Tamandua tetradactyla: one gene and its partner. The main gene of each other region encodes a partner of the protein of the gene in region 2 in a complex. Links are inferred from orthologs where the notes say so. Each region holds a gene or a part of one and is shown on either strand. Other genes may lie near its edges.

What was found. The genes of interacting proteins can lie anywhere in the genome.
Region 1: the proteins of LNX1 (region 2) and IGSF5 are in contact, whole or in part, in a crystal structure (PDB 3VQG), measured with the Mus musculus proteins. The link is inferred for Tamandua tetradactyla from reciprocal best matches to the Homo sapiens genes LNX1 and IGSF5. Residues at the interface, in NP_001153049.1 of Mus musculus: Gln396, Leu397, Gly398, Ile399, Lys400, Leu401, Val402, Phe413, Leu416, Pro446, Ala449, Ala450, Ile453; in NP_001171358.1 of Mus musculus: Val367, Thr368, Leu369, Val370.

What each region holds. Positions count from the first base shown.
Region 1 is NC_135336.1:97,013,760-97,020,743, reverse strand, and holds the start of IGSF5 (immunoglobulin superfamily member 5), read right to left. Parts: upstream 3,023-6,984; 5' UTR 2,790-3,022; intron 105-2,789; 5' UTR 86-104; coding exon 28-85; intron 1-27. UniProt on the Homo sapiens protein: Provides, together with MAGI1, an adhesion machinery at tight junctions, which may regulate the permeability of kidney glomerulus and small intestinal epithelial cells. Mediates calcium-independent homophilic cell adhesion.
Region 2 is NC_135345.1:53,898,034-53,904,996, reverse strand, and holds the start of LNX1 (E3 ubiquitin-protein ligase LNX), read left to right. Parts: upstream 1-3,940; 5' UTR 3,941-4,357; intron 4,358-6,963.

The sequences.
Region 1 (6,984 bases), on a different chromosome or scaffold from region 2:
CGCCCACCCATGGCACGTGGCTCTTACCTGCCAGCCAGACCAGGATGGCCAGTGGTCCAGGCACGCCTTCCCAGCTGCCTCCCATCTCAGCAGGTGTCCGTGCCCTGGGGAAGAGAGGGGGCAGGGGACAGTCCATCCGTGACCCGCGGGTGTCTCCTATTCACAGATGTCCTGGGCCCCCTCCAGGCTGTGGGGCCTTGGGGAGGGCAGATCAGGTCCCCCGTGCCATCAGCAGCACCCGCTCACCTGGGATGGCACCTTGTTCAAAAAGCAAATTCTCAAGCCCACCTGGATCTGCCACGTCAGAGACCCTGGGGGCAGGGCCAGCATCTGTGCCTCACCAAGCCCTGGGGGCGCTTCTGAGGCTCATTCAAACTGGTGTATCAGATAACCTTCCCTCCCTAACCCGAGGATAAACCATGGGATGCAGACAGTAAACCATTACCGGCAAATTACCGACCAGGACCTGAAGTGAGGGCTTACTTCCGCTCACTTTAATCAGAATGCTTCAACCATTATGGAAAAAAAATCCTGCCTCCAAGTGGTTTACTTTTTAAGAGGGGTAAGAGGTGATAAAACCAATGCCTAGGTTATACAGCCTATGGGAAGGTGGGAAAGGGATGAGAAATACAGAGCAGGAGGGAGCATGGGCCAGGGCACTGGGAAGGCTGGGCTGGCTGTCATTTCCAAGATGATAGCCAGAGGACACGCCATCCAGAAGGTGACCCACAGTGAGACGGACAATGAGGTGGAGGGACAGCCCTGCAGATATCTGCGGGGAGAGCTCTCCAGGCAGAGAGCAGGTGCAAAGGCCCTGGGGTGGGGCCGAGCGTGGCATGTGAGAAGCTGCAGAAAAGGCAATGTGGTTGCCCTTCCCACAGCCCCTGTGCTCTCTAGAACTCTCTTGCTCACTGGTCACCCTGCATTTATTCTTTGTATTTCACTAACAAATGAACCGCAGTGCACAGAAGGAGAGCAGAGGTGCACTGGCCAATGGCCCACATTTTACACTGAAGTTACTGGGTATTTATGGGTCACGAGAAGGAACCTGGGGTTTCCCATCCCTTTGTTTCCCTGGATCCTCTGAAAACAAAATTCAACATTTGTCCTAACAATATAATTACTAGTGTCCATAATTCAAGATGCAAAATATTTGTGCTGTAGGACCCCTGGGTAACGGCACCATACCCCTTGACATCCTCTAAAACAGGCTCAGCAGAGCTTCCATGGCCAGTGGTGCAGCGCTTGTACACAAACTGAAATGAAACCATAGCCGGCCTGTGATTTAGTCAAGATCCCATCTGTGAAGCATCAACTAAATCATTTACTGGTCTTTAAGTTTCGATTAACACGCCTCTGCAGATAAACCACTCTGGTGGTTGTTTAGAACAGAAACCTACAGCAGAGGAGGGGGTGGTGCTGCAGAGGTATAAAAGCTTACACATTATATTGAAAGCAATAAATGAGAAGCATGGACCAGGCATTATTGAAACTGTAGCAACAGATTAAGATCAGATAGGAAATACTTCTAGTCGCTGATCACCGAATTGAGTCATGCTGGGAGGTTATTAAGAGCTCCACTCTGCCAGTGTCCTCACACACAAGGCACAATTATTTTCTGTATGACAATGACTCTGTTGATAAAAAAATCCAGAAGCTTTAAAAATACAAACCCCAGGGCAATGCAGGAACCCACTGAGGGCCACGAGCGTCCAGCTGTGAGGTGGGAGCAGATGTGGGTTGGCGAGGCAATGATATTGGAGAGGTGTGGGCATGAGGGAAACTGTTATAAAGCTAAACTGAAACCAGACCTATTCCCCTTTAACGAAGTCAGGTGTAGGCCAGGCATTTGTAAGTTCATGTCTCTATCGGGTCATCTGACTGGAACGTGAGACTTAATTTCTCATTCATTTCATGTTGGAAGACTCGAATTGTCTAATTTCAGTTGAAAAGCTGAGACACCTTCTTAAGAAACCCTAATTACGTGTACCATGTGGGTGGACTCAACCCCAACCATTTCCTCACTGCACAGAAAGGCGGGGAACAAAGAACCCACCGAGCTGGCCATCCTGGGGAAAAGCACGCCTGAATCGGCGTCTGGCTTACTCACCACCCACCACCCCCACCCTCCAAAACCTTCTTTCTGGGTTGTCGGGAAGTTTGATCTTGTTCCCTCCACACCTCCCGTCTCAGGCAGCAGTGGGAAGCCTGGACGCAAACGGAGCAGACGACAAGCTGTGGCTCAAGGGCAGCTTGAGAATGAGCTGCCACGAAAACCAGGCCAGGGATGTGCTCAAAGCCACTCCACCAAAAGCAAGAGGCCCCTGCGTTTCTCCACCTCCCACCAGCTCCAGGTTCCGGGGTGCCCTGCGGTGGCCCGCGGGGACTGAGCCTGAGAACTGCCAGGACACAGGGCAGCGGGGGAGCATGGGCGGGCGCTTTCAGGGGGCAGCGGGGGTCCTGGGAGCTCCCCAGCATTTCAGGGCAGACCCCAAATCCCAGCAGGGCCTGGCCCCAGCGCCCCCTGAGCGGGGCTCCCTGTGTCCCTGGGCGGGCTGCCGGGGAACCTGTCTCAGGTTTCCGAGTCCTCACCACCACCCAGCCTTTTAATGTTTAACTCTGCAGAAACCGGGAGGCAGGTCCATGCTTTCCCTGGGCAGCCCGGTCAGTGGCTTTCCTGGGGCCGGAGCGGCCCTGGGCAAGGGGCCAGGAGTTGGGGAGACCCGGGTGTGTTGGGGGGGTGCCTAGGCACACCCCAGTTAGAAGAGGCCCGACGAGCTTGTTCTCACCTTGGGCAGGCAGATCTGTCCCGGGCTTCAGCAGACGCGCTCTGCTTCCTGAAGGCTCCCTTTTCACGCAGAGGCAGAAGCTGCGCGGCCCCTGGAGAATTCCATCCTCTCCACAGGGACCAGGAAGCTCCTCCTGGAGCGGCCCCGTCACTCACAGTCCGGGATAAACAAGGAGGTGGCCTTCCCCGGCCCCACACTGCAGGGCGGGCAGCACCCGAGGGGCAGGTTTCCTCGTTAATCATTAGCCGCCCCAAGCAGGAAGCCAAGTGCAGGCCCGAGGCCCAGCACCAGAGCCCCCCAGCCCCCCGGCCACCCCCAGGGCCCAGCCCACCCTTGTCGCAGGTCCCTCCCGAGGCCGGCCCTGCCCACTGGGTCCTCCCCCCCGGCCCAGCAGCTGGAAGGGTCAGGCCTCCTCCCGCCCCGTGCGGGTCTCGCCTGGGCCTGCGCCCTCCTCGCCTCCCGCAGGGACCCCAGGTGGGAAGGCCGGTCCTTCTGCCTCAGGCACCAGCACCCCTAGGATGGCAGCCCAGGTAGAGGAAGGCGTCCTCTGCCCCAAGGCCTGGGGAGCGGGACAGTCTCAGGGACAGGGTGGGCCCCGAGAGCAGCCGCCCAGGCCTGTGCTGGGGGGCGCTGTGCGTGGGCCCCCCTCCTCACCCCAGCTCGCAACGTGGCTTTCTAAGAGCACTGCGACCATGTCTGGAGAAGACCCCCTCCCTACACCCCGAGGGGGCCTGGGCGCAGCTCTCAGGCCCTTCTGGAACCCCTGGCCTGTCTCTGTGTCCCCGTCACACGTGACCTTCCCTGGGGACAGTGAGAAGGTGGGGACCCCCCACGCAGACAGAGGCTGAGAGCAATGGGTGGGGAATCAAGGCTGTTCCGCCAGTGTCAGGACACTGCCCCCCGTGTCCTCTCAGCCATTGGAGCAGACCACTGGGATGCCTTCAGTCCTACTGCACAGGTCACTGCGCACCCGAGGAGCTTCTCCTGACCCCAACACCCTCTCTTCCTGTCTCCTGATGGAACTTCCAGACCATAGGCCCCCGAAAACAAATAAAAGTAAGTGTGTGGATGAAGCTCCTTCCCTTTCGCAACTCAGAAACTTTTCTAGGCCCTCTTCTGCAGAAAATGGCCATAATTGAAAATTTGTGCTTTGACTGACGTCCTCACCAATTCTAAGTTACACACACTTTAACCTCCAAAGCTTTAGTGTTTACACGAAATGCCAGTTTTTACCAGCAATACTTTTTCTTTTCGGCCCAAAGTTCTCTTTCTGCACTGTGTTACTCTGACTACGTCTTACTTAAACCATTTTCATTCCCAAGTTTCCTTGCCTTTGCACCTTAGCAGTTAATTAGAAATTTAGCATGTTTTGAAAGTCACTCGAGGAACCTACTCAATGCAAAAAAAAAAAGTGCAATATGAAGTCCACCAGGAGAATGCACTGAAACAACCACATGTATTACTGACCTAGGCTTATTAGTGCTATTAATGTAAACATGATTCAACCAAGCATTTGCCCTGCTCAACGAAGTCGGTGGGCTTTAGTGGATATAATGGATGCTCACTATCCTTACTGACTTGCCCGCACCTTTTGTATCTCTCAGGGTAACTTATGTGTAAGGCAGGCCTGCTGCTCCAGAGCTCACCTGAACTCTTGGGGTGACATCGTCAAGTCAGCCTTGGACACCCTGACACCTCCAGGTCACCTGGCCGGGTCAGCCACGTCACTCACTAATTACATGTGATTGATACTCAGAGGACACTTACCGTCGCCGCAGTCTTCCAGGCAGAGGGAACACGGTGTCCCCCAGCCCCGGGACTGCCCGCAGGGTACTTCGGTCCTGCGGAGGAAGGACAGGCTGGGGGAGAGCCCCGCCCCACCCACGGGAGCCCCCGGGGGCCAGCCCCCAGCCCTCCATGCGCGCAGGCGCCTGCCAGGCCTGTGTAACTAGCCTGTGGGATGCGGCAGGACTATGTCACACATAGTTCTCATAAGTGATTACAGTAAAACCAGCCTAGGATCGTGGAGCCCGAACTTGCTCTAAGAGCTTCGCATTATCCCCCCAGCTCCATGAGGTTATGAGCTGCGTTTTACCCACAACGAAATGGAAAGAAGAATAGGTGAGACCCAGTTCCCTTCGGAAGAGCCCACGGAGGAGGCAGACGGTTTGCTCTTGAATGACGGTGTCTAATGCTCATTCATTCACTTAATACACATTTTTCAGGGCTGGGCCTTGTGCGAGGAGCTGGTGGGGAAAATGGTGGGCAAAACACTAGGGGGTCCTGCCTCTGGGGAGTCGTATGCTCCAATCGCAGCATCTTGTTCATGAGACTCATCTCTGAAGGCCGAGCCTAACTCTAAACTCAAATAATTCCAGAACCGTGGGTACAGGAACGCAATCCTAAGGCCAGTGTGGTGCATTTTTGCCCTGATTCTCCTCTTTTCCTTTCTCACGTCAGTTCTGATGTTTGGAGGCCTGGGGACGGGCTCTCCTCGGGCGACGACGGGTGGCTTCCCTCCAAGGTCGTCAGCCCAGTGTTCAGAGCTGCGCCGGCCCCAACCCCAGCACGGTATTGATGATACCGGGAGGGCTTCCAGAAAGCTTTTGAGTTATAATAGCACGAATGCCCTAACGCTGTGAGCATCACCAAAACCACTCACAGCAGCTCGGTAGCGAGTTTCCCCCAGCCAGGCTGGGTCCTGAGAGGTGCCTGTTCAGCACAGACGGACCACGGAGTGCTGAGCTCACAAAGTCCCCAGGAAGGCAGCTCCGGGGCTGGGCAACGCCTCAGGGTTTTTTAATTAATTTATTTTTTTGTAATTTGCATTTTTTCAAAGTTTGACTATAGAGACATTCCTAATATTCTTTACATACTCCAAAATCTCAAAATTCAAACTCACATAAAGCATATTCACATTGTAATTCAAATTGCGTTAAAGACTCTGAAGGAAACTTCCAGGAGGGTGGCAGCGAGGGCCACCTTGATGAATGTGGGAGCGAGGCCCAGGGCCTCTCTGAGGGACTGTGTTGAGCTCAGACGGGGGTAGGGACACCGTGCAGTGAGTGAAAACAGTCTCTAACGTGTGCTTTAGACACGTTCCAAGAGAAGATGCTCTATGAGAAGGAAGATGGCAGCTGCTGGAAAACTGAAGGCCTAGACCTAGAAATGGGCACAGTGCCACCAAGTGGGTTTTCTAGTGCTGAGTAACAAAGTACTGCAGACTTAGTGGCTTAAAACAGCCCCACGTGCAGTCTCTCAGTTCTTTGGAAGAGAGATCTGGACAAGTTCGGCTCAGTGCTCTGCTTAGGGTCTCTTAAGGCCAAAATTAAGGTGTCAGTCCCACTGGGTCCTTACCTGGAGCTTCGGGGAAAGCATCTGCTTCCCAGCTTATGCTGTTTTTAACCTAACTCATTACTTGTGGTTTGGGGACTGAGGTCCCGTTTCCTTGCTGGCTGCTGCTCTTGGCTCCGATAAGCCACCCCCTTCCCTGGCACCTGGCATGGCCCCCCCAGCTTCACACCCAGCAACAGGGCATCCCACCCTCTTCTGCCTCAAATTGATGACTTCCTCCTCTGCTCCCAGTTGGAGAAAATGCTCTGCCTTTACAGGGCACATGTGATTCAATTCAGCCCATTTGGAGAATCCTCTTTGCCCTATACTGTGACACCCCCAGACAAGAGCCAGCTCCCCACAGTCACGGGTCCCCCCCACCCCCAAAGGGGAGGGGGCTGCACAAGGACGTGGGCCTGGGGGCTCATCTTGGAGTCCTGCCTATGACAGTCACATCCATGCATCCTCTCAGCCAAGTAGGCGTGGGGTCCAGACTCCAGGAGAGGCCTTGGACACCCCACCTCTCAAAGGGAACCATGTCCAAGATTTGGGGTCATGTGTCAGAAGCACTGCATCCCCCAGTTGTTTGGGGTGTGAGAGCCGGACATGAAGGAGAGAAGGGGATGACCTGTGTTAACAAGCGGGTCTGAGACACGCAGGCCTCCAGCTCTGGACCTTGGGTCTCACGATTCTGCCGTCCTCCAAGTGACGAGAGACACTGCAAGGGCCACGTGCTTTCCTCAATGGGGAAAAAGAAGCAATTTCAGCTGCTGGGTGAGAGACCTTCAAAGTGTGCAAACTCTTTTAAAAGCATTCACCAGCTTTGGGGGCCTGCTATTGGCTCACTGGCCCCAGCTGGGAG
Region 2 (6,963 bases):
TCGTGAAAGGAAACCTAGCTGGGTTTAGGAGATGGGGTATGTGTTGATGAGTAAACTCTGTTTTATATTAAGCAGCTAGGCAAATAAATAATAGACTTTAAAATTGTATAAAGTGCTATCAGGAAAAAGAGGAAGGTATCTCTAGGAAATGGACATTTGAGCTGAGACTTGAAAAAGGAGAACGTGTTAGGCAGGCAGACAGGGAAAGAGAACAGAGTGGTATTGTGCATGCATGTGTGTGGGCGGAGGTCAGTGGGGACCAGCTCAGGGATGGCAAAGCCATTCCTGAGCATTCAAGAAACAGGCAGCAAGCTCGTATGGCTGGAGGGTACTCAGTGAAGGAGAATGTAGCAGAAGCAATGTTGGAGAGGTGAGCAGGGACCAAATTGTGCCAAATCTAGTGATCCATGTTAGGGGTTTTGTATTTCATTGTGAATGCAATGGAAAGCCTTGAAGCTTTTTGACAGGCTAATGGCATATTCTGACTTTCCTTCTTAAAAGTCTAGTCTGGATGTGGTGTGAAGTCTAGATTTGGTAGAGGGACTGAGGTCAAGAAGTGAGGCAAGGAGGCCTTTTAGGAGACTAACTGCAGTAATCTGGATGAGAAAGGGTGGATGGGTAGACTGAAGTTAGCAGAAACAGAGGGCACTGGTTGAAGTTAATATAAATTTCGAAGGTATAATTCGTAGAGCATACTCGTGGAACACTTGGATGGATGAAAAGGTCATTTACTGGGAAACAGGAGGAAGAAGGGGAAAAGATTAAGAGTCGGATTTGGATGTGTGAAGTTTGAGATGGCTGTGAGACACCGAGAAAGTAGTTGAAAAGTAGAAGAGAGGTCTGGACCAGAGAGATATGAATGAGAGAGTTGCTGGCATAGAGATGGTTGTAGAAAGACAAAACAGAGTTGAGTCTGCAGATTACAGCATTTTCTTCAAGACACCAAAAGTTTTGCTGTAGCAAGTAAGCCAGATCACTTGCAAAAATGAAGCAGCTTTGAGCTCCTAGGGAAGGCAAGCAATTTTTATAAACATAAAAAGGAAGTCACCTTGACTCCTATTGATTGGATGGAGGTTTGTCCTCCATCCAATGTTACGTGGGTTTAACACAGATGGGCTTTATTTGGTATTGGGTCAAATATACTGAATTAGGGGCTTGATCTGAGTTGGCTACCTTGGTGGAGATTTCAAATTTCAAAAGCTTTCAGGAAGAAACTCAAGAGGGAATTCAAAGAGGAAGTTGTGCTTTTTGTTTTGTTTTGTTTTGTTTTGTTTTGGCTCTAAGAGGTTCCCGGGGCTTTCTCTATATGATTTTATCGTGGTACTTCAAGCTTTCCCTCATTGTCCAATCCATTTGTAAGGATAGGTGGGCAAACTATAAGTTGCATACTCATGATCAGGGAGAGGAAGGCAATCAGTCTGTAACAGTTCAGAGAAACAATTTTCTATCTCCTAATACGATAAATCCATTTTCATCCTGAGTATCTTGTAAAGGTGAAAAAGGGCCTGAGCGAAAGAAAGCTGGGTCAGATGATTTCTTTGTCCCAGTTAGAAGACTGAAATGGCTGCTCCATCATTTTACATTTCTTGGGTTTAATATCCTTCCTTCAAAATGCACCAAGAATGAGACAATTTTCTCTGCACGTAACTGGGCATATTACTTTTCTGGAACACTCTAAAAATAGGCCATTTGTCCTTCTATAGTGAAGGCATGCTTACTTTCCCATAGTTATTAGGGTTTAATTACATCTGGACATTTCTGCTGAGTTGGAATCTGTCACTCTCCTAGAATCTCCCACACCAAATGGAAATGACACTCTTAAGCCATAGAGTTTAAGCAGGCTCAGGTCTCCATGCTGTGGGCTGCCAGGCAGTGAGTAATTCTGGCTTTGGAAAGGGCACGTTTGTAAAGCTAAATTAATACGTCCTGTTTTCATCCGTGACTTCTTTCTGTTTCCAGTTTTAAACAATCAGCTGCCTTGGTTACATGACCATGCAAAAAAAATTTTTTTGAGGTGTGTGTGTTTATCATCAATCCCAGAATGGACCCTACTCTTGGAACTGAATCAATCAGTACTGATCCATATGCTCAGAGGAGAGGAAGGAGAAATAAAATCCATCTACCTTACCTTTCTGAATGGAAAATCCCAAAGCTTCCGGCAGTCCCCAAATCTGCTGTGAAGCAGATGAGGAACATGAAAGCTTCCATTACATCAGCTCCTTTCCAACATTTTGGTTTTTCATTTCAGATGATAAGGTTGAAAGGCCCATTTGACTGTTATAAATTGCCTCTCTTCATCAAAGAACTCCAAAACCAGAGTCTGTAAACATTTCTAGATGCTGCATTTAATTGTAAACTACTGGGAAAGAAAAATGAAATGATATCTAAGCTAAATGCCCAGACTCTTTCCAATCTTCCTCTTTATCGCTGCAGCTCTGGTGAAGTTGTCTTTAGTCTCCTTTAAGAAGAATGAAAAGCTGACCAACCTCAAGTTTGAAGTCTCATTTGACCCTAAGGCAAAATACTCCAAGCTCCCCCAAACCAAATCCAAGGGCAACAGGGGTGAGCAACTGTCATGATGTTGCAACTTGTATATTTGTGAAAACTGACAACTTGGTCCTCTCTGGGAGCCATCTCCATGCCTGCTAATTAATGGTTTTACTTTCCTTTGACTACCTGCCAGCTGTCTTGGGGTAACCACCATGGCACAAGAGAGTTAATTGCTAACAATTGGAAGTCAAGATGAAGGCAATAAAACCCGAGAAAGTCTAGTGTGACCTGAGGACTGAAAGCCACATGTGCTGATTTCTCACCAGCAGAAGTTTCTGGGCTGGGAACTTAGTTTCATCCCTTGCATGAATTGTTGATTAAAAGAAGCTTGTAACTGTCAGGCTCCTGAAGTCAAAAGAACAAACTAGTGATCGAGCCATGACCAAAACTCACACGGAGGCCAAAAGATTTATAGAGCACATCCTTGCTTGTAAATAAAAAAAAAGACAGTGGAGAATCAAAGACAGTCAGAAGCCAGCAGCACCAGGTTTGATCAGAGAAGGCAGTAGGTGCCTGGGTTATATGTGACCTACTTGATTGTTGAACATGAGATAGCACCAATTAACATATCTGGAGAGAGACCACTTTAACTGATGAATTAGAATTCTATTCCCAGAGCCAATCTTTCATTTAAGCCAGGTCTTTAGCCATCACTGAAACTATCAGCCCCCAGAAATATTTAAGCCTACCTGGTGGAAAAAGCAAGACTGAGAAAAACAGTTTCAGCAATGCAATTCTTAAATTTTGAACTAGCTGGGTCATTGTGTGGGAGTGTCTAAACCTCTCTGAGCCTCAATTTCTTCATCTACAAAATGAAAATTATAGGATTATAGTGAGAATTAGATGAAGTAATGCAGGTCAGGAAGTTAGCACAGGGCCTGGCACAGTAAAATGCTCAACAAATATCAGCACAGATACTACTGATGCTGCTGCTGTTTCTGAAGGTGATGGTGATGGTGATAACGAAGAATGAGCAGAATCCTATATCATTAGAGTTTAAAAATCATACATAATGTCAGCCATATTCTTGTTCATTCTTTTTCTGCAAACACTAACTGCTGTTCACCTATGAATGGTACTGCTTATGGAAAATCTTTGGAAGTTTTGGCATAATACTGGAAAAAAAATCATGATTGCTTGATTTGTCTAATGTAGGTAATTTAGCGTGTTTCTTTGTACATTTGAAAACAAAAAGATGCTCAGGATTCTGAGACCAGTCCAGGAGCTACTAAGCCCCTGTCTCTTTAGCAACTAGTCCCAAGCAGGAGGATGTCCCAGGCCTAATGATGACCTGAAGGTGCAGTGACGCTGTGTTTGTTTCCTTGTTGATTTCCCTTTCCTGGCTCCAAGCTCATTTTCCCAATGCCTGCAGGAAAACAACAACCAAGGGTGCGGTAGGCCTGACTTGGCAGCCCTAAAGGTGAACAAAAGGATCCCGATTTTTGGCGTGAGCAGAAGGAAGTTCCAAGGAGCCTCAGCCCCATTCAAAACAGGGCAGATATGTCACTAACGATAATGAGTGGCTGTTCAGAGGTGAGGGGTGGGGGATGGGTACGGCTCTCCCACACGGCTCCCCACTGGCTGCTCTCGGGGTTTATGGGTCTGCTCTGCTCAAAGCCTCACAGAAAGGGCAGGCGGTGCGCTGATTTACTCCTGAGTGTAGACAGGTGGATGGTCTGCATGTGCGTCTGGGAGACAAGACCCAGGAAAAAGAAAGAAAATGTTTCTGTGCAGAAAAGCTGAGTTTCCAAACGGACTGTCACCTGAGCCTTCACACAACTGGGGACTGATCCACAACGAAGCAAAGGTAAGATGCCTGCCTAGTTTCTCCACCTGCCAGGACCCCCCACAGTTTGGGAAAACTGCCCCTGACACCCTAGTCTCTGACATCTGCCTTTACCTGAGACAAACACACACATACAATCAAGTTCTTACAGAGGCAGAAGTATCTAGCTATGTCTTTTTCAAGACCTAGAAAGGCCCCAGGACATTTGCTTTTCTTACATCCATTTTTTTTTCTTTCCTCACTGCTCCTCATATAAACCTCTTTCTTCCTTTATTCTCAGCAATGAAAAACACTTGCCATGCAAGCCAGGGTAAACATCAGCAATTCTTTTCATGGTAATTGGATTTTAGGTAGCATTATACTTTATCCCTATTCACACAAATGTTTTGTTTCATTTCTGTGGTAGGAGCAGGTATTGTCTTTGCATTTTCACCCGTGGAGAAATTTAGCTCCAGGGAAATTGTGACTTTCCCAAGGGCACATAGGTAGGTGGTCACTGGCAGCAACTCCTGCCCCCATTCCTGCCTCTTTTCAGTAGAATATTGACTGTGTTTTCTAAACAAACACCAGGCGACATTCTCTGGAACATATTCTGACAAATAGTCTGATGAGAAAATGGATTTTAGAAATTGGGACGCTCCTGGAAAATCCTGAAATAGATAGTGACAGCATTCAGTGCAATATACCCCCTTGTTATTGATTCCTGTTTACTTCCATTCTTGGGAATTGAAGACAGTTCAACAAATGCTGATAGACTATGTCCCCTGGAACCAACTCTGGGTCACATGTCAGGATGTGGTGCCAGCTCTATGCCCAGGGAGCCAGAGGCAGAGGTTGTGTGTGAGAATAGTCTCCTGGGGAGGTGAGCTTCACACATGGGCTTTGCATACGGTGAAAGCTTGCTCTGTGGGGAGAGCATTTCAGATCAGCAGAGTTCCTGAAATATATCTCAACCAGAAAACATTTACAGCAAGACGGTGGCAGTAGGGCAGAGGGGTGAAGCCTGGCCTGGGGGATTACATTGTCTGGCCTTGAATCCTGGTTCCATCTCCTACTAGTACTGCATTCTGGGGTAACTTAATTCATCCCTCTGGCCCCAGTTTACTGACATGTAAAATGAGAATAATGGGAATGCCTACCTTATAGAATTGTATTAAGGTTTAAATGAGATAATGCTATGAAGGTTTGCTGGCACATAATAAGTGCTCAGTAAATGCTCTTCAGGAAATGATTACCATCTGCCTGGGAATACAGATAGGGGGTTCCTGTCCTCGATTTCATCAAACTTTTGTGAGTTAGCTATACACAATTAACTGTGTGCTCTGTGACAAATGCTCTGGAATCTCGGAGTCAGGATCTGCTCAGTGTGTGGGAGTTGGATTCTGGGTGAAGTGGAAGAAGGCTACACAGCAGAGGGCCTGTGTGTAGAGAGGTGGCATAGAACTGTAAAAAGAGCTCTGCAGATTGGTTTTCTAATCCCAGCATGATCTCCTCCTAGATGCATAACATGACCAAGTTATTAAACGTCCCTGAGCCTCTATTTCCTCATCTATAAAATGGGGATGATACTTAACTTGAAGAACCATTGTGATGATTAGAAACAGAACACATAGAAGATGTATCCCAGGTTCCAAGCCTTACAAGGTGCCTAACTGGCAGTGGTTTTTCTTAATGATACTTTAGACCAAGTCTCAAATGAACATGGTCTCCCCTCACAATCCAGATTACAGGTGAACACCGAAGAACTGCCCCTCAGTTATTTATCTCACAGACTATTCTAAGAGGACAAAGGAGACCTCAAGTGTTTCCATGTCTTGGTTCTAGCAGATGAGCCCATTGTCAGATAAGTTAGATGGACTGTGTGATCATCTCTGCAGGTACAGCATCCTCTTTCTTTCCATTGTTCAGGAATCTGTCCACTCTTTACTAAATGAGAGAGATGAAGATTACCTACCTCTCTTGCCTTGGCAGAGCAGCCGCAGGCAGCAGATAAACCTGGATTCTGCCTTTAGGGCAACTGCCCCAAGCTTTCTCCACCCAAAGCAGCCTCTGAGTACCTGTGACCTGCCAAGTATGGGAAGCATTATACTTCCTGACTTAGCATATTCATTACAATGGATATAGATATAGACACATCAATGTAGATGTAAATATAACTATAGCTGTAGATCTATAGACCAGATGTTGCTATATAGATTTTTTTTTTTTTGGAAAATATCACAAGCTTATACAAAAGTTGCAAGTACAGTACAGTGAAAAGTATGGTAATAGAACTTTTGCACTATCTTTTTCCTGAACCATTTGAGAGTTAGCTATCAATGAGATGCCACATTATCCCCCAACACTTTGTGTGCATTTTCTATTAACAAGGACATTCTCCTCCATAACCACATTATACCCATCAAAATCAGGAAATTAACACTGATACATTATTACTATCCACTCACAGAACCCAGTACATTTTCATCAACTGTCATCTAGTCATCAGGCCAATTCAAGTTGTTTCTAATTGTCCCAACTATCCTGTATGGCCAAAGAGCACATTTCTGAGCCAAGTGTTGCATTTAGTTGTCATGTCCCTTTAGTCTGCTCTGGTATGGAACAATTTCTCCATACTATTCTCTCCT